Schizosaccharomyces pombe: one gene and its partners. The protein of the gene in region 2 purifies or fractionates together with the protein of the main gene of each other region. This does not show direct contact. Each region holds a gene or a part of one and is shown on either strand. Other genes may lie near its edges. The genes, in order: ste20, tor1, wat1 and sin1.

Evidence for each region.
Region 1: the proteins of tor1 (region 2) and ste20 purify together in Schizosaccharomyces pombe (affinity purification with western blotting; 7 studies listed by BioGRID, with this or other methods). This does not show direct contact.
Region 3: the proteins of tor1 (region 2) and wat1 purify together in Schizosaccharomyces pombe (affinity purification with western blotting; 7 studies listed by BioGRID, with this or other methods). This does not show direct contact.
Region 4: the proteins of tor1 (region 2) and sin1 purify together in Schizosaccharomyces pombe (affinity purification with western blotting; 6 studies listed by BioGRID, with this or other methods). This does not show direct contact.

Annotation. Positions count from the first base shown.
Region 1 is NC_003423.3:2,473,858-2,480,993, reverse strand, and holds ste20 (target of rapamycin complex 2 subunit ste20), read right to left. Parts: upstream 5,116-7,136; 5' UTR 4,856-5,115; coding exon 926-4,855; 3' UTR 532-925; downstream 1-531. Other genes in the region: SPOM_SPBC12C2.01C (uncharacterized protein), read right to left, coding at 1-63; SPOM_SPBC12C2.03C (methionine synthase reductase), read right to left, coding at 5,649-7,136. UniProt on the Schizosaccharomyces pombe protein: Component of TORC2, which regulates multiple cellular processes to control cell growth in response to environmental signals. TORC2 is required for cell survival under various stress conditions.
Region 2 is NC_003423.3:3,074,111-3,078,794, forward strand, and holds the start of tor1 (TORC2 serine/threonine protein kinase Tor1), read left to right. Parts: upstream 1-1,637; 5' UTR 1,638-1,850; coding exon 1,851-4,684. Other genes in the region: gpi1 (pig-Q), read right to left, coding at 1-839. UniProt on the Schizosaccharomyces pombe protein: Catalytic component of TORC2, which regulates multiple cellular processes to control cell growth in response to environmental signals. In response to signals, TORC2 phosphorylates AGC protein kinase family members.
Region 3 is NC_003423.3:1,661,187-1,664,894, forward strand, and holds wat1 (TORC1/2 complex WD repeat protein Wat1/Lst8), read left to right. Parts: upstream 1-1,754; 5' UTR 1,755-1,760; coding exon 1,761-2,705; 3' UTR 2,706-3,174; downstream 3,175-3,708. Other genes in the region: myosin-binding vezatin family protein Inp2, read left to right, coding at 1-1,203; vacuolar transporter chaperone (VTC) complex, GTPase regulator subunit Nrf1, read left to right, coding at 3,396-3,708. UniProt on the Schizosaccharomyces pombe protein: component of both TORC1 and TORC2, which regulate multiple cellular processes to control cell growth in response to environmental signals. Nutrient limitation and environmental stress signals cause inactivation of TORC1.
Region 4 is NC_003424.3:4,745,482-4,750,412, reverse strand, and holds sin1 (MAP kinase-interacting protein Sin1), read left to right. Parts: upstream 1-1,985; 5' UTR 1,986-2,124; coding exon 2,125-2,147; intron 2,148-2,190; exon of another isoform or gene 2,191-2,206; coding exon 2,207-4,090; exon of another isoform or gene 4,091-4,129; coding exon 4,130-4,220; 3' UTR 4,221-4,313; downstream 4,314-4,931. Other genes in the region: mid2 (septin ring organizing protein), read left to right, coding at 1-1,274; transcription factor TFIIE subunit Tfa1, read right to left, coding at 4,314-4,931. UniProt on the Schizosaccharomyces pombe protein: Component of the mechanistic target of rapamycin complex 2 (mTORC2), which regulates multiple cellular processes to control cell growth in response to environmental signals.

The DNA of each region.
Region 1 (7,136 bases), 600 kb from region 2:
TTTTCTTAAAGAATGAGAAGAAATCAAGCTTAGACGAAGTAACCTGTATGTCACATTGTACATAGCAAGAAAAAAAAAAAATCAATAATGTTCCATAGAAATAAACCCTTAAACGTACTTCCTTCTTTTGTCTATTAAACAAATCCGAAAACCTATCGAGTTATGTAGTCAAAAGAGTGTAAAAACCCAAATATATATATATATATTTTTTTTCAAATTATATTTATAAATTTATTTCCTTTTTTTTAAAGAATAATCTTCTTCCTTGCGAACAACCAAAACAAATTAAAACCAAATGCGATGTTGTATGAGATTTACTTGTGAGCAGAAATATGCCCAAACTCCACGATATGTTAAGCAAATACACTTTCGTTTAGTTATATAGGATTTGCTAATTTACTATAACATGAGGCTGCCGTTCGTTGCATACGTTGTATGTGGAAGTTGAGCATAACTTGCTAAGCATGGGTATTACATATAAGTACACCTTTGTGGTACGCAATTTTTATATTGATAATAACAGCGTACAAAGTAAAAATTAGCACGAAAAGATGAAAGGCAATATATTCTTGTTCATATTACTATCGTATGGAGGCCAGGGGCTAAGCAGGCCTACCTAAACTACACAAATTCAAAAAAATATCCGCAAGTATCAGACATGTCTTATAAATATTAGATTAATAATTTAAACATCCAAAAACAATTATAAACTCATTACTAACCCTAGCGCAATCACCTTTTATGTAAACACTAGTCTAACTTAGTAAATAAACTTATGAAAAGAAACAAAGAGGGAAGGTCAAAGAATAAGCAGAAAACTAAAGATCAAACTTATTGAATAACAGAAGAAAAACGATAATAAGAAATCATAAAAATCATTAATTTACAAAAATTTTAGAAAAGTGAAGGTTCGGAAATTTGGAGTTCATGCGGAAATTGACAAATTATTCGGCCTGGACGGGGATTCATTTAAGTCCTGTGAGGTTGAGGAAGACAATAAAACCGAGTAAGGAAATAATTCAAATACAAATTGTTGAATCTGAACACGGTAATGGAATTTTCCCAGAATGGTCATACAAGCTTTCACCAAACGTTTAGAGGAGAAAACTTTAGCATTTTTCGAACGAATCTTTGTTAGTTGCCGTGCTGACTCGTTTGTTAAAACATGGTTTGACAAATTGGAAACGAGCCTAATTACCTCTCTCTCTGAGTTAGTTAAAGAGCTAAGTAATGAAGAAAACTCAGGAGTTGGCACGCGCTCATTTACAAACTCAACATTTCTCCTTGGAGTTGATAATACTTGTCCAGCATGTCTCGGAATGCAAATTCCTTGTGAAGTGCCCATTAAAGACATAAGGCTATACCAATGCAGTGATTCGAGTATCTCAACGCCTTTAGAAGTCCTGGAAATCAAGCCTAATACAAAATAAGCAGTTCCTCGAACAGTAGGAATCAATGAATTTTCGGCATATTTGACAATCAACGGTATCGTATCATGGTTAATTAAAAACGTAATACCCTGATCGGTTTTTCCAATGTTTCCTATAGCCCAAAGAGCACTCTTTAACTGCCTGATGGCTTCATTTCCTAACGGTTTATCGTAAAATTCCACCAAGGTACCCATAAAAGATTCAAAATGCCCAGAAGACTCGAGAACCTCACAACCTTGTGGAGATTTGACTAATTCGCCATAAAAGTGTAGGGGAAGTATATTTTCATCTGGTTCATTGTTTTTCTTGTCAATAATTTTGAGATTTGAAACAAAAGAAAGGAAAAAATTTTGCTCCAATAAATCCACGTAATCTATATTTCGATGATGGTACCAATTATCGAGTTCATGTTCAATAAAATTAATTTCAGAAAGGTAATGAAATCCGACAGTTGTAGCAAGAAAACGTAAAAGTAAAGGTGAGCCAATTTCACCCAAATGGGCCAATGAAGGTTGAAGCTGAACAACTTGAGCCAGCAAGTTTTCATTTCGAGCACAAACTTCATTCAACACCTTCACTGCTGTTTTACATACTTCCAAGCAAGGATCGTACAGTTGAAATATCAATAGAGAAATTGCCCAGTGATTTAAGTTGTCATTGGCAGACTCAGAATTGATTAAAGCCGCAAGATGCTTGGTTGCAGTTAAGCGTACAGCCTGTTGCCCGGTATTAAGCGCCTTAGAAAATATAATTCGTGTGTGCCCCTCTAGCCGATAATCAAGATTAGTCAGAAAAATAATTATGAGATCGTCTCTGTTCCTCAATTCTGTCAAATGGTAAAGTGTAGTAAAAATCCTCCATCGTTCCATAATTGCATGACCTTCCTTTTGGCTTGACAATACTTTTAACATAGGAAAGTAACCGTGGGTGAGGGTTTTCTGAAGCCTACTGTTCGAGAAAATCGGCTCAGAAACCTGTTCTGAATATCCGTCTATCTGGCTAAGAGATTCTGCTATTTGTTTAATCACTTTGCTTTCAGAAAGATATTTAACGCCTTCCGGATTGGCTAGTAAAGTCCTGAAAACAAGACAACCAACCTTTATAAATTTTTGATTTGGTTTAGTGTTTTGTATGGAAGAAAATCTGTTGGAAAAGGGTTTATAAAATGCTAAAAGCCGTCTCATAAATTTTGTGGTTCGCAAAGTTTCATCAATACGTTTCGGACTTAGCAATGGACCCTCCATAATTTGGACAAGTGTATCCCATCGCCATTTTTGATAGTTTTTTGTAGCTAACACGTTGGTTTCAGCTAGCATACTACGAAAATGTGAATCATCAATCTGCATGCCCATTTTCAATTTAACATGCTCAACCTGTCTTTGCCCCCGAAAAGATCCATCAGTTTTTTGCTCCTTAAAAAGAAGAGAGGTTGTCTGCGAGAAAGGTTGTGTTGCAGAATGGAATTTAACTCTATTCAAACTTTCAATGGATTGAAGAACAGAAGTGGCAACAAACCTGTCTTCGGCAGTAAATTGAGAAGCCATATTAAATAAAGATGGCAAGGATTGTATTTTGGCTCCTAAATGAATCGGCAGTAGCTCATCAGACAGCCTCAATACCTCTCCTAGAAGATATGTAGCTTTACGTGAGGCTGATGGGTCATCGCTGGCCCTAATCATACATACAATAGATTCAACCAAACCGAGCTCCAAAAATATAAATAATAAGACGGCTGTAAAATGTTGGCGTAGCGACATGTACTTTTTGTTGGAACCATCCGGTATATTAACCATGTTTATGTTATCATCATTAGATACAGCCTGATTTTTAACGACTGTTAATCGTTTTCCGGCCAAAAAAGACTCTGACCAACTTGAATACTCAACTTGGAAAATTAAAAAGAAAAGATCAATTACATCGCTTCGTGGAGCAAAGGATGGAACCCGAAGTGTATCAACAATCGACCGAAGAGCCTGAAAATCATTGGTAGACAAAGCCAATAATCCAGACCATGAATTAAGCAAAACAGAGGCAACTTTGGCGGAAGATTTCATGGCTTTTGCAGCTTGTTCAGACTGTTCCTCAGAGGAATTAAATGTATCTCGCGAAGAAGAACTAGTAAAAGGTGAAAGTAAAATGCCAATATCGTAGGGTAAATTTACGTAACAAGCGCTTTCAGGATCATCCAAAAGATATACTAATGCAAGTGCAGCACTAGCTGCTAAATTCTCAGAAATACTTCCATCGATTAGGGAGATCATTAAAACCCTTAAACCATTAGCTTTAAATAAAATTTTTGGTCGAATAATCATTAACTCGATAAGAGTTTCAACAGCAATTCCACGACTAACATCTGATACATGCTCACAAATTGAAATGATAGTCCTCGTAATACCTGAAAGATAATCCTCATGTCCTTCAGTTGATGAAAGAAAATAAAGAGTTCGGATTAGTCGGAATGCTTGCTCTCGTTCAATTTGATATGCATCGGTACCAGAAAGTAGAGACTTTGACAAGATCCAAGGTAAATTCAACATTTGACAACAAGAGAATGCTGTTGCGTCAAGAAACAAATGCCTTAGTAGTCTATAAACAGAAGCCGTAACTTCAGAGACATTCAACTCGAGCATTGAAAGTATGGTCGGAGTAATCAAGGAGAAGTTTTTTGCATAAGCGGGATCAGAATGTTCATGTAAGTATTCACATAAATTATTTGAGGAATCGATTACATCCTTCATACTGCCTTCAAGACAAGCCTTATATATATTATCAAGCCAAGGATTTAATGGAAATTGTGAGAAATTCGATTGCAAACTAGAAGGACGTTTTCCGTTAGGTTGAGTATCTTCAGAAGAAGAATTATTTTTTTCGTTGACATTTTCAAAGTCAATTCTTTGAATGACGGTAGGAGTTAAATTGCTATGCGCATTTCTGGTAGGACCTATTAATTCACCAGTCCCACTGACTGTAACACTGCAACTATCGCTACATCCTGCTTTGTAAGAAAATCTCGTACTATACTTTTCCTGCAATGAGCTCTTTCGACTGACAGTCGCAGAAGCAGACCTCGTGAGACTGGTTGAGCCAGTTTTTGCTTCACCATTTTCTCCTTGGAAAGATTCAATGCTAGAAACTAATTCCTCTATCTTTTTTTTAGATGATTCGAGCTCATCGGTACATTTCTTTTTTAACATTTCTTTACGTTCTTTTGTTTCTTTTTTAAAATTGGTGTCGAAGACTTGCAGCAACGTTTCAGCGCCATCCCGTATTTTGCACTCAACTTCGAGCTTTCCCTTCAAATCCTCAAGTAACTTGAGCCTTTTTGAATCAGTGGTATTCATTTTTTTGATAAAGTCACCATTAGTTTTGGCATGGGAACTTATATCCAAAGCAGTATCGGTTTGTCCCCTTCGCACAGGTTTCATGAGCACTGATCATTAAAAGCAGGAATAAAAAAGCTATCTCCTTCCATAAGCGCCTTCATGAAATAGCCTTATAAAGGGATAGTATGTTTTCGTACTAATACTTATTGCGTGCAACACGCGATTGCTTACTGGGCTAGTCAAACTCTCAATTTTTAAGCAATCTAGTAAAATTAAAGATATTAACACTTAAATAATAACTTAAGATTGTGAAGAGTCCTAAAATGATAATGCTTGCGAACTATGCTCGTATGCTCATGGATACCCCAACGGCTGAACTTAATCGGAGTTCTGTTACCGGCGTTAACGATTGTACGACATGGAGTGATGTTTCGCTATTAATGGGCAAAACAAATTTCCTTAGAATTCGCTAATAAATAATTAGATACTAGGTACTGGTTCACTAAAGAATCGAATCCTTAATGTTTACTTTACAGTCTCAAGATTGCTAGTTAACAGTATACGAAAACATGAAGGATAAATCAAAGCAAGAGAATAAGATGAGTAAATTATATTACTACAATCAACTATTAAAATTTGTTTATATTTTTATTTATGGAAACAAAAGGCTAAACAAAAAATGTTTTAACAGATATGCCCAAGCCAATATAGAATTAAAATGCCATTTTGAGATACAAATATTGCTTTCGAAACATTTCAAAAAAGATTTTTTTAAAACGAAACGATAATAAAAAAGACAGAAAAGAATCGAAAATAATGTGAAAAGATAGTAAACAAAAAAAAAATTTTAACGAAAAAATAAATATTGGTAACGTGGATAAACAACTTCATTCATTTACCAAATCTCCTTTATGTATTTAAGGTTAAGTGGACTTTGCCAAAGAGCAAGTTGTTGGGTAGCTTCCAGCCTGCTCATTTTTCCGTATTGAACGCAAACATCAATCAAGGCATTTTCAACACCATCTAAAAATCCCTTTTTACCACCACAAAGATAAACCTTCCCATGAGGATGACTAAGAACACTCCATACAATGTCACCACGGTGTCGAATCTCGTCCTGTACATAGGCATGTTGGTGAGAACGTGATTCAACAACAAGATGGTTGGGGCCACTAGTACCGTCTTTTTTAACTTCGAAGGAATCCATTTCAGTTTCGGTTTGTTGGCTGACTGTAGAAGATGCATCATCGTCTGAAGACTTTTGAAGCGGGTTTTCCCACTCACCATGATAGAGCTCATCCAATTCTTGGTCGCGGCATCCATGGAAAACCCAAACTTTACCAGCACAAGTGGCATTTGTAAGACGTCGTTGCACAAAACCTCTAAAGGGAGCAACACCTACACCGGCACCGATTAGGCACATAGGGCCATCAGAAGCAAAATGTGTGGCAAATGCGTTTTTGTGCAGACCGCGGTACATTGGAAGGACGAGATCTCGTTCACCATTTAAAAATCTCAATGCCAATCTTTTCAAAAAACCAGAACCAATACCAGAACGAGTGCCTCCTTCAACTTTATTGATTTCAACAACTGTAACCGCAAATTCCAATACATTATTACTGACCTTGGGATCGTTTGACAAAGAATACCATCTAGGCATAAGCTGGGGAAGCACGGTTAAAAGGTGATCAAGAGGAAGTTGAACACTAGGGAAAGCCTTTAGCAGAGTGATAAGTGTAACGTTGTGGTCCCTTAAATCACAGAAAGCACGTTGTCCCAAACGACTGACCAAAAACAACAAAACTTGCCGCTCGGTATCATCCTTGGCGTATTCGGCAAGTAACCGAATAAGCTGCTTTTTTGGGGCGACAGACATAAACTCCACGGTCCATTTAAGAAGCTCACGCCTGGTTGTAACGAGTTCTCTAGGTGTGTCTTCTGCCCAGATGGTGGGCCAACGACCTCCATCGGTTTTTAAAAGGACAGGGGCATCTGCCTGGTCGGGATTGATATGAAGTAATTGTAAAAGCTCATCCACATCCTCTTCGTTGTTGGGAGCCATTACACCAAACGACCCTCCAACCATCCACTCTTCGCCTTCAGGAAGGGGATAGTTGGAAACGTCTAGTTCAAAATGGAACACACGTTTGACAGCACCTGGTTTAGTGAGCTCACGAACGTCTAGTATAGGGGCGGGAAAGACACTGAACGGAGGGTGTGGTTGAACATAGTGAGGAGGCATTCTAGAAGGAGTTGAATGAATTTGAAAGTTGGGGTCTTCTTTGGCACGAGCCTCATCGATATCAATCAAAGAGACATGATTCTCGGGAACTTTGGGAATTCTGTCAAGAGTAATATTTTCATGTAGAAGACCTAGATCCAT
Region 2 (4,684 bases):
AAATCTACTTGACGAGCAGAAACGAAAATATCCATCATATTATAAGATAAAGGAATCGGTCGGTAATTAATCGCCAAGAGTATAACCTCATTAATTATCCTCAATAATATGATAAAGTAAGCAAACAGCGAATTAAAAAAATAAAAGGTTGATGACGAGACACGATCAAAAAGTCGAAAAACATATGAATTTTTTTTGTTATTATTTTCATGTGTTAACATGCGAACCTCGAAGGATTGATTAAGAAGCTCAATTAAGCCTGAGCGTAGACTCCTTTTCCAGCTATTTTCTTTGCGTCGGGGAAAGTGCAATTTCAATTTTTTTAACAGTATTTGCTGGTGTTGCATGCTTTCGTATTCAGGGTTTGACTTGTTAATAAAACTATCTTTTAACAATAAAAGCGATAGAGGTTCAAGGGAAAGAAATTGCATTTTTCTTGGCTGCGGAGGATGATAATAAATTATATGCAGATTTATTTTTAAAGGCGTACTAGCCGAATCGAAAACTCGGGGATGAGAAAGCTCAGTCGATTGCTGCACTTTGATCCAACAATCAATTTCATATTTGTCACCCGGCAAAATATCGGCAGAGCAATTAAACGTGCCTAATATACACAGAGATTTAATATCTACTGATTGATCTTGATTTTTGCAATAATCAACTAAAAAATTAGCGAAGGATTGATAACTAGTAATTGTTGTCACAACGATAAGATCGTTGGTAGAGTACTTCCAACCAACTAAGTAACCAGAATCGGTATAAGAGATCGTACTTTTGGGCCAATATATCCGTTTCACTTCAATTGGAGCCGAAGCTATATTCATGGTTGTGGTAGACATTTGAAATATAATATTGAATGCTCTGAAGTCAATTCCGAAGTGTTTAATAAAAAAGACAAACAAGTAATAACAGACTTTAGAAGCATACAAAAAACTTTTGTTAAGAAAAATATAACAGGAGATGATACTGCTCTCTCCGGTGTTTAGAACTCAAGTTGTAAAATCAAAAACTTCCTCGACGTAAAAGCTGTTCCCTTGCAGAAATGCCACCGCTAACTGACGTTGAGTTACGAGCTTCGGATTCAGCGATTCGTTCTAAAAGAATGAAAATAAAAAATCCTAAAACGGTAAACAGTAGTACGTATGAAGGAACCTTGGTGAAAAGACGGCCACCAGATACAATGTATGCCAAACAAGAATGAATGCGCTTAACTAAAGACAAACTAGAAGTTATATAACCAAATAAAAAAACAAGAGAATAAAGAAAGAAAGGTCTCATGTCTTTAACATCATTTGTTTACAGTATGATAACCGCACGCGTTAGTGGTGTAAGTGTCGGGAAATCAACCAAACAAAGAAAAATAACAGTGGGCTAGCTTGGAAAAACTCAAACAACTTTTTAAAGAATCAAATATTTATGGATTGATTCAGAACTCCTCATAAAAAAAACGTTTAAGCCATGCGCTCGTGCAAAATAAAAATGACGAGCAAATAAAAACGAATTTATTTCTGTGTACAAAAAGTGCTCCATATACTTAAAGGATTATAATGTGCTATGTTATGTTTTTTGAACGATTTCACGTTGGAATACCTTAGAAATTTTGACATGACATTTAATGTCATAAGTTGTTAACTTTTAACCTTTTCCATATCTCGGAGAAGTTACTAAGAAATTATATTAATCTGAACATATATAAAGTTCATTTAATCAAACTGGAAGGCCAATACCTCTCCGGTCAACCTAATACTGAATTGTTTGCTTTCCGTAGACATTGTGATGAATGCCTAAGTGGAAGAATTGAACACCGCGACTATTAGAAAGTCTATCGTTTCACTCGCTCTCTTTGATTCATGGAGTATTTTAGTGATCTAAAAAACAAAAATGAAAGCATTCAACTAGCAGCCGCTGATCAATTAAAAGAATTTGTACATAGTTCTACTAAGGAATTATCAGGTGAATCCCTTGCGCGTTTCAATAACGATATCAATCGTCGAATTTTTGAGCTTATTCATAGCCATGATTCCCACGAAAGATTTGGAGGAATCCTTGCGATAGGCAAGCTAATTGAATTCGAAAGTGAGGGAGATGTTACTAATCTTTCGCGGTATGCAAATTACTTACGAATGACCCTTCCTAGTACGGATTGGCATTCGATGGAACTATCTGCGAAGGTTCTTGGTCATTTGGCTGCGTCTGGTGGTACCCTTGCAGCCGAATTCGTTGAATTTGAAGTTCAGCGTGCTTTCGAGTGGCTTCAAGGAGACCGTCAAGAGCAAAAACGGATGGCGGCTATTTTAATTATTAAGGCTTTAGCACAAAATTCTCCTACCTTAGTTTACTTGTATATTAGTGAAATTTTCCAAAATTTGTGGACTGGATTGCGTGATCCAAAGCCTCTTATTCGGGAAACTGCTGCTGATGCTTTGGGTGCTTCTTTAGACGTGGTTTGTCAAAGAGAAGCTAAAGTTCAATTGCAGTGTTTTAATGAAGTTCTGCTTCAAGCTGAACATGGTTTACGACAGTCGAGTGTGGAATATCTGCATGGAAGTCTTCTCGCATACAAAGAGCTTTTCGAAAAATCTGGCTCTTTTATTCGTGAACATTACACAGAATTTTGTGATTTGGCGCTTCGTTTACGAGAGCATAGAGATAACTCTATCAGACGCTGCATAGTATTTTTACTGCCTACATTGTCTGAATATAACCCCAAAAAATTTCAACAGCGTTATTTAGATTCTTTTATGGTTTACTTACTTTCCCATATCAGGAAAGACAAGGAAAAGTCTTTAGCTTTTGAAGCTATTGGAAGAATAGCCATGGCAGTCAATGAAGCAATGATTCCTTATTTACAGAATATTTTAAAAGTAATAAGGGATACATTGACAGCAAAAGTACGTGAAAAAACGCAATATGAAAAGCCTGTTTTTGAATGCATTGGCATGTTGGCTGCTGCTGTAAAGCTTGAACTCCTTGAAGATTCTCGAAGTCTACTTGGTCTGATTTTTTCTTGCGAACTGAGCGTTCACTTGCGTCAAGCTCTTGTGAAAATGGCAGAAAACATCCCTCCTCTTTTGGCTCCTATTCAAGAACGATTATTGAATATGGTTAGTCAAATTTTGACTGGAAAAAACTTTGAAATTCGTACTAATGACACATATACTCCCAGTTTCACTAATATATACTCTGCTAGGGAACCTGACCAAAGAAGTAAAAGCACGGAATCAATTATTTTGGCTTTAGAAACTTTGGGTACTTTTAATTTTACTGGTTATTCATTAATTAGTTTCATCCAAGAATCTGTCTTATCTTACTTGGAAAATGATAATTCAGAGATCCGTATTGCTGCTGCACGAACTTGCTGTCAGGTTTTTGCCAGAGATCCGATATGTAGAAAAACAAATCCTTTGGCTGTTGAATCAGTCGCTGAGGTGCTTGAAAAGCTATTAACCCTTGGAATTGCAGATAGTGATCCAAAAATTAGGGAAACCGTACTCTCATTACTAGATGAAAGATTTGATCGGCATTTGGCACATCCTGATAATATTCGTTGCTTATTTATCGCTCTGAATGATGAAGTTTTTTCAATCAGAGAAATTGCTATCATTATTATAGGAAGGCTTGCATTGTATAATCCGGCCCATGTGATGCCATCGCTACGAAAAACTATTATTCAGTTATTATCTGACATGGAATATTCGGGTAATAGTCGTCAAAAAGAAGAAAGCGCACAGCTTCTCAAATTACTGGTATCCAAAGCTAGAACACTCATTAAGCCATATATCCAATCGATCATTCATGTAATATTACCGAAAGCAGCAGATACGAGTCCTGGAGTTTCATCTGCCATTATATCAGCTTTAGGTGAACTCGCAAGTGTTGAAGGAGAAGATATGCCTGTGGATGTTCGTGGTTCCTTCATGAAGTTAATACTTGTGAATTTACAGGATCAAAGCTCTACATTGAAGCGACTTGCTTCTCTTAAATGTTTACGAAAACTTTGTGGTCGTTCAGGTTATGTAATTCAGCCATATTTAGATTACCCTCCTTTGTTGGGCGCGCTAATTGGTATTTTGCAATCAGAACAACCAACACCGATAAGAAGAGAAGTACTGAGAACATTAGGTGTGTTAGGTGCTTTAGATCCATATACGTATTTAACTACTGAGGAAGTTTCAGATGATTTACAAAGTAGTCATAATAATGCCCATGGTGTACCTCAAATTAGTGCCGCGCAGTACCCGTCATTGGAAAACTACGCTATGGTTGCTGTTGTCACTTTGATAGGTATTTTAAAAGACAGTTCGCTCTCTATGCATCACTCTTCTGTTGTTCAAGCAGTGATGCATATTTGCTCTCAAATGGGATCTAAATCTACTGTATTTTTACCTCAAGTGGTACCAACGTTTCTACAAGTAATGCAATCCTTATCGGCTTCCTCGGCTGAGTTTTATTTTCAGCAGTTAACGACTTTAACTTCTATTATTGGACCAAACATTAGGGATTATGTATCTGATATTTTTAATCTTTCAAAAGTCTTTTGGGAATCTACCACATCTCTATTGCTAGTTATTCTTGAACTCATCGATGCCATAGCAATTGCACTGCAGGATGAATTTAAATTTTACTTGCCTCAAATATTATCTTGTATGTTGAAAGCATTTTCCCTTGATAATACGTCTTCCCG
Region 3 (3,708 bases), 1.4 Mb from region 2:
ATTTATACATCTGAACTCCTCGTAGGAGATCACGAGCTACAGCGGTCACATCATGAAGAACAGCCTTCTTTGGTTTATCCTTCTTCATCGTTCAGTTCTACGAGCAAGTTTTGGAGATACTTCGCCTATCTGCTGAGCTTACAAATTGTAATAGATTTTGTTTTATACAAATTATCATCTGCAATGGCAAGTCTTCATTATCTAAAGTTTGTGAAGATAATAGCCTTATCTTATATTTGCTTCTCTTCGCTCATACGGATTTGTCATTGCTGGACATATTTTATTCGTATTATGGGATTATCCAGCTTAAATAAGTTTGTCAATCTATTGCATGATTTTGAAACTACATCTAATCGTGTTTACTCCCAAATTTGTGAATTGGAAGCAAATTCGGCAGCAAATCGCTCCCGGTTAATGGACTTCCTTCCTGCCAATGATCCTTTATTGTTTAATCTTACGGAACAAAATACTTTAAGTTACGAACTGTCTGGTTTGTATGAGAAGCTTTTACCTAGATACCAGCTGGTTCTGTCAAGAATATATCCGTATGCAGCTGCTTCCAACCTTAGAAACCTATTATCACTATATAGACTTCCAAATTGCTTTGGTAAATTAAATTCGTTTGACCTCCGAAAAGGTTCCTCAACAAGCTTAAAACGGAGTTCCATGTACCTAGCCCGTAAAGAAAACCAAGACTTTGATGACCAATCCACCCAAATTCTCAATCACATCAAAACTGCTTATTATGAATTAACTATAATCTCTAAGCAAGTTCTATGTTGCATACTATCGTTTCCGGTTGATTCATTTTTAGCTGAAAGGTCTTCATGGCTCATTGTTCACCGGGAGGTAGGTGACCTCTCTAATGCATTGTCTGTGTCGATGGTTCGTCTCGTTGACATCTTAAAGTTTTCAGTTGAATCGGTCAACCGTAATCAACATAACACTACTAGCAAACCTTTCCCCAGGATCATGTGCAAAGAAAATTTGCGCAGTCTTTTTAACGAGTTGCACTCTGTAATGATGGAAACTCATGAGTCTATCAGCTCATATATTCAAGAAGGAGACAATACAGCTATGCAGACATATGCTATGGATGAATATGATCAAGTTGGTTTACTGCTCAAAGATTTGCTCTCTGAATGGGACTTTAATAGAGCACTACTTCTCAACTTGCAACACATGCACCGAAAGCGTAAATAATTTTGGCTTTCAGAATTTTAAACCATATTTTGCTTTTATGATCTTTTTTATCCATTATTGTCCGTTTCTGTTATACGTCTTTCGGAACCTTGTTGGTTTTAATAGTTAGGATAGTTATTATAAACTATTTACAAATCGACATTTATCTAGGTTTAAATGTCGTTCAACTCAGCAATGATGTCTTTGTTGCTTAAAAATTTGCCTTAACCTTTCGTCCTGTATAATATTTTAGTTATACCAGTTTATCTTTACACTTATGCTTATGCTACTTATTGCAGGCGCAATTTTTTAAAAAATTAAATTAACATGAATTTACTATTATTCTATGAATTTTCCTGTTTTTATGGTCAAAACTGTTAAATTTTTTAAAGTTTTGATGGCTGTAGATTTAAAGTATAGATCGCCAATCGTGCGTTTACAAGTCATGCTACAAAAAATTTACTAAATATATAATATAAACATATTTAATTGATTTTAAAAATTTTCAGTCATTAATTCTCTCTGTATTCGAGTTTGTTTAATAACTACAGTATAACAGCGCTCCATTCTTTAACCACATGTCAGTACAGTATCCACCACAACATTCTGTTCTGCTCGTCAGCAGTGGATATGACCATACCATTAGATTTTGGGAAGCCCTAAGTGGAATATGCTCGAGAACAATACAACATGCGGACTCTCAGGTAAATCGTTTATGTATTTCACCTGATAAGAAGTTTCTAGCAGCCGCCGGAAATCCTCATGTAAGATTGTACGACATAAACACTAGTAGTCAAATGCCATTAATGACCTTTGAAGGGCACACCAATAATGTTACAGCCATCGCTTTTCATTGTGATGGTAAATGGCTTGCCACATCGAGCGAGGATGGAACAGTAAAGGTGTGGGATATGAGAGCCCCTTCAGTTCAGCGAAACTATGATCATAAATCTCCTGTTAATGACTTGTTAATTCATCCAAATCAAGGTGAACTGCTTTCATGCGACCAAAGTGGACGAGTTCGTGCATGGGATTTAGGAGAGAATTCTTGTACACACGAACTTATTCCGGAAGAAGATGTACCTATGAGCAGCATTACTGTTGGATCTGATGGTAGTATGCTTATTGCTGGGAACAACAAAGGAAACTGCTACGTTTGGCGAATGCTAAATCATCAGGGTGCTTCATTGCTTCAGCCCGTTGTCAAATTTCAAGCTCATCAGCGTTATATCACTCGCTGCGTCTTGTCTCCTGATGTCAAACACCTTGCTACATGTTCTGCCGATGCTACAGTGAATATATGGAGTACGGAGGATATGTCATTTATGCTTGAGAGACGACTTCAAGGGCATCAAAGATGGGTTTGGGATTGTGCGTTTTCTGCTGATTCTACCTACTTAGTAACCGCATCTTCTGATCATGTTGCAAGGCTTTGGGAGTTATCGAGTGGTGAAACAATCCGTCAGTATTCGGGTCATCACAAAGCTGCTGTTTGTGTTGCTCTTAATGACTACCAAATTTAAGTGTTTCAAAGCATTTTTCAAAATAAGTTTACGAGTTATGTTTTGTTGTATTTTTAGCTCAACTGATGTTGGAAAATTACTTCTATATATTCAAGTTTATTACACGCCTTTATCCTATTTTACCTTTGCTATATAGATTTTATTCACCAATCTTCTTAGGAAAACAAGAGTCTTGTCTTGTCAACATTCGTTTATATTAAGTGTGTCTGATTTCAAGACGATTTCTTAGTCACTTACAAATTTTTTATAAATTATATTCTTCCCTTGATACAGTATTTGCTAGTTTCATATCTCGGAGTTTTTATGATAAATAATAGTCTTAAGTGATGATAACTTTTGAAAATTTTCAATGCTTATTAGTGTAGTTTAACTTATTTTACAACTTTTATCTCTAAACATGATAGGATTAAGTAGGAAAAGTTACATATCCTCGTGTCCTTAAATGAAATGAAATGTATATCTTCATTAGCTTTCTGGTTAGCGAAGAAGCGAATTTGATAATGCAAAATTTGAAGAATTTAGTCTCGCTAAATCTGCTAATTAACTTACCGAGACTTACCGTAGTAAGATACGAAAAAAATTTCTAGGCCGTTCGACACAGCTGACCTTAACCACAACTCACAGCCAGCACATACTTAATCTCGCGAGGAGAAAAAACCTTCGATTTATAGCTCACTCTTTCCACTAACAATGTCTACTCAACCTCTTTTACAAACTACTCCTGGTAAAAGAATTGCTCTTCCTGTTCGTGTTGAACCTAAAGTTTTTTTCGCTAATGAACGTACTTTCCTTTCTTGGTTGAGCTTTGCAGTAGTTTTGGGTGGTTTGTCAGTTGGTTTACTTAACTTTGGTGATCGAATTGGTAAGATTAGTGCAGGACTTTTCACTATTGTTGCTATTGGTACCATGGGTTATGCTCTTGGTATTTACCACTGGAGAGCATCTGCTATTCGACGACGCGGAAGTGGTCCTTACGATGATCGATTGGGACCTACCATTCTCT
Region 4 (4,931 bases), on a different chromosome or scaffold from region 2:
CAGATTCTATTCATGAATACGAAGAGCCACTTACGAGCTCCATCACCTCTTTAGATTCCCCTCATGTTCTTGACGAAAATGCTCCGATACCGCTTCTTCCAAAAGTGGTTTCTTTACCAGATCCTCGCTTTACAAATGTTCTTTCAGCCTTTGACGCTTTGACTAGGACATATTTGCTACGACAGAATTCTAAAGTTGTACATGCCACTAGTCAGAAACAAGAAATGCAAACTTCGCGGCGCGTTGTCAATTCTTGTTATATGCCAGAATCGTTATCGCGAAATTTGTCCAGTAGTTTGCAACAAACCGGCGGGAGTGGAAGATTGTTTGTCCGTCTTATGGAAATCAGAAACTTAACTATTCCTTTGGCATCGGGGATGACCACTAGGTTCACTTATACAATCTCTGGTAAGCACATTCAAGTACCATGGAACGCCTTACACTCTACTACTAAAATTGAAAATGAGTATACTTTTGATGAAAGTATTAGTTCTTCAATTGTATGTACGCTCCGTGCGGCTTACGATCCACCTAAGGTTCGCACTCGTTCTACACTTGGAAAAGTATTTTCAACAAATAAGAGAAAGTCTATGACTACCGACCCCGTTTCAGAAGCACTTCATGGATTTGTTTCTGAAGATGGAACTTTCGGCGAAGTTACCATTAACACTGATTCTGTAAGCCGAACCGCACTAGGCCGTTGTCAATCTATGGTTCTACCAATCATGAACAAATGGACTGTTGATCCGGCAGCTAAAGATGTCAAGCCTCTCCCTCGAAAAGTAGGAGAACTCGAAATCCACGTATTTTTCTTACCAGCGCTTCCTGTCTCTCTGAAAGAACTTCCCGCTTCAATCGAGTCTGCCATGTATGACTTAAAGCTTGCTGAATGGGATAGAACTTTATTGTGTGATGGTTATCTATGTCAACAAGGTGGGGATTGCCCTTATTGGCGTCGTCGCTATTTTCAATTAATAGGATCAAAGTTAGTAGCTTTTCAACAATTCTCTAAAGTTCGCAGAGCAACGATTGATTTGTCTGAAGCCACACATATCGTGGATGACAACCATTATAGTGATGAAGAAGAACTAGAAGGGTATCTGTATTTCGAATCGGGTTTCCGTATCATTTTCAGTAATGGGGACTACATCGATTTTTACGCTGAAACCGTCGGCGAAAAAGATGAGTGGATGTCTACACTTCGTCAGCATTTGGGGCAATGTTCAATGGTTCACAAAAATTGGACCAAATCATTTCTTTCGCTGAGTTTTTAAATTGACCATTTGCTTCGACCTCACTTTTTCTATTTAAATCACATTTGGTCTTTATCTTCTCCTTTATCTATATCGTCTTGCATTTTTCATTGGTTTTGTTGTTTCCCTCGCATAATACATAATGTTCATTTTATCTACCATCGAGAAGCTAGATTCGGTTGAAATGAGCTCGTTTTATATAAGCTGTTAAAAATCGGATAGCAATTACTTACTACTCCCCATGTATATTTATACTTCAGTTGCAAAATACTTCATTTTTGAAAGTTTCCCTTGATCCGAAGAAACGTTGTCAAAATAAGTTGTCTCAAAACGTTTATCTTGGCTTTGTAAATAAATCAAATTCCTTAAAATACTCTAGCTTGGCGTTGTCGAGTGAATTTATTAAGTCGTAAGCTTGCCATTTGAGAAACTTCAAAAAATAAAAATTCCACAATAATTTAATTACATTATTCTGTAAATAATTAATACCGTAATTGCTATATAGTTCAAATACCATTTTTAGCTGTTTCGCAATATCTAAAACGTATATGAGATCACTTTTTTTCATTGTCTAGCGTTTTTGTACTTCAGTTAATAACTGTTTGAATTAATAGTTTCGTTCATATTTTGCTGTCTTTTGAAATTTGGTGGTACTTTACGGTGTTACCCCCAACACTTAATTAAATGCTTAGCGGGGGATACATAGCAACTGAAATAAAGCACGCGGCGTCCGTCACCAACGTTTCACATAATTGAGTTTACAAATTTTCTATATTAAGGTGCCATAAAAAGTATGGTCGCTAAGTATTCAAACTTCGTTGAAATTAAATATTTTATAAAGTCTGTAAATGCGATATAATAAGGACTCAGAATGGAATTAACAAGAGAGAAAGTGTAAGGATACTATTTTTTTTCCTATGAAACTTATACAAACTAATACGTTTATTTTACAGTCTTTTGTTAACATTTTTGCGAATGCAATATTCTCATATACTTCCTGACTCAATCGAAAATCGAGTTATATCTACTGAGGCCCCGGAATGGGAATTGGACAAATCATTGCAAGACTTGTTGATTCATGATTATGATTATTCTAAAACTTCGTTTTCTTCAAGTCCCCCGATTGTCGCTAATGACACTGTATCCAATGTCCGAAAGCCGAGTGATACTAAACAAGTAAATGGTGCTGGGGGTCAAGTTAATCATTCTCGAGCTGAAGATTCTGATTATGCTACTTCTGACTTATCCGAATCTTCAGATGTGGGTGATGACGATAACTCGTGTATATTTTCTTTTAGCAAAGTCCCAATGCAGAAGGATGTTGCAAGTATAAAAGAAGAGGAAAGACTGGACCCCAAAATTTCCACATTAAATAATATTGATGCTATCGCAAATCTTAAGCTTACCAACATGGTAGAATCCTCGCAGGCAGTGAATTTAACCTCGTCCAAACAGTCTTCCATAAACCAGCAAAGCAGTGTTTCTACGGATTATGATGATCTACGGTCGATTTCTGAGGAATCATTTCATTTAAGTCAAGGAGAAATTCCTCTTACTTTTCCAATGAATTCTTCCTTAACTGACACTGAAGCTGATGCAGTTGTTGCGGTTGATGCTCTTTTTCCTGGTAAGCAACGCGGAACACACAATACAGTCAATAAAGCAAGATCTGTTTCGAACGCAAAGGCTCCTACATCTGCTCTTCGTGCATTACTTGAACATAAAGAAAACAGTAGCCAGAATGGGCCATTGGCTGAAAATTTTGCTACTTTTTCTGGACATGCAGAATCAAATGCCCTCCGTTTAAACATTTATTTTCCTTCGAGCGAAAGTCCTTCAAAGCCCTTATTTGTAGAACTCCGAAAGAATGTTTTGGTCTCTGAGGCTATCGGTTATATTTTACTTCAATACGTTAACCAGCAACTCGTGCCCCCAATAGAAGATGAGGCTCAAAATCCGAATTATTGGAATTTACGTATTGTTGAAGATGACGGGGAGCTAGATGAAGATTTTCCCGCTTTGGACCGTGTAGGTCCATTATCAAAATTTGGTTTTGACGCATTTGCTTTAGTTAAAGCCACTCCTGCCCAAATAAAGGAAAATCAAGCTGCCTACCCGTTTAAATCGAAGCATCCAACATCAATTCCTGAAGCCAATAACAAAACGCATATTCGGCATACTAGTTCAACTTCAAGTCAATCACAAAAGCAAGCTCAGGATGTCAAAGATACACTTAATACTTCTCATGTCGTACAGGTACGACTTCCCCCATACGGGGATAATGCTCGATTTTGCAATATTGAAATATCAAAAACTACTAGATTGGCTATGGTGTTGAACCAGGTGTGTTGGATGAAGCAATTGGAGCGATTTAAGTATACTCTGCGAGTTGCTGGATCTGATACTGTTTTACCACTTGATAAAACATTTAGTTCACTAGACGGAAATCCAACTCTAGAACTTGTTAAAAAGAAGGTACGCGATAAAAAAGGAAGTACCCAACAATTGCCAACCTCCTCACCACAAAATTCCGTTTATGGATCTATTAAGAAAGATGCACAATCTTCAACATACAATGCAACAGATATTATGTCGAGCAATACCTATCAAGAATTTCTTGTATGGAAACGACAACCTGTTTCATTTATGGGAAGACATGAGCGTCTACTAGCTATTGATGGAGAATACGTTCACATAATGCCGTCTGAATCCAAAAATATATTTGAAACGCCTAAGACGTCCAGTATACATGCTGGATCGATTATTTTATGCAAGCAGTCTAAAAAATCACCATGTAATTTTAAAATGATTGTGTCCAAGAATAGGGAAACTAAGCGGTAAGAAATTTTTTAACGCTAATAAGCTAACGAGTTCAGGTATGATTTTGAAGTTTTGTCCGCCTTGGAAGCTGCCATTATAGTTAGCAGGATACGTGCACTGATGAATACTGTTAAAAAAATAAATTAACATTTATTTATTACAAAAAGATTCTATGAATACATAGGTATAAACACCTTTGTTTTTTGGTATCACATTGCTCTCTCCCCTATGTCATTTTTATTAAACATCTTCAAAATCAGCTTCATCTTCATCGTCTTCATCGTCCTCATTAAATCCATTAATAATAACATTCTTTTTACTTTCTTGCATTTCCGTATCACCATCAGTAATACCATTTGTAGAAACAATAGGTGGTAATGAATTGTTTTCTTCTATCGATTTTGTTCTTTTATTTTGGATATCACTATCTGAATTTAGGTTCTCGGTTTTACGCTTGACCGACCCATAATCAGTACTTTTGTTTTGAAGAGAGGTAGCCGTCGTAACGTCTAAGAAGTCATCATCCTCCTCATCATCTACGTTTTCACTGTCCATAAACTCGCTTTCCTCTTTTTGCTTTGCACGAAGTGTTGCGTAATAAGCATCTAAGGCGCTCTTTTCAGAAGTAATATCTGTTTTAGTGTCTTGAACCTCATTAACAGTTTCAGTTCTAAAACTATGAAGTGCGGCATCTTTAGCTCCAGCACGAGTAATGGAGCCAGAAATTGTTGATGTTGCATGCCATTCGGGAAGAATGTTTTGAGCAGCTTTGACTTGCTTGTCGCAATTCCTTTCACGCTTTTCATCAGTCTCTTTATCAGCAGAGAAATCAACTGTAATAGATGGCGAAGAGGTGGA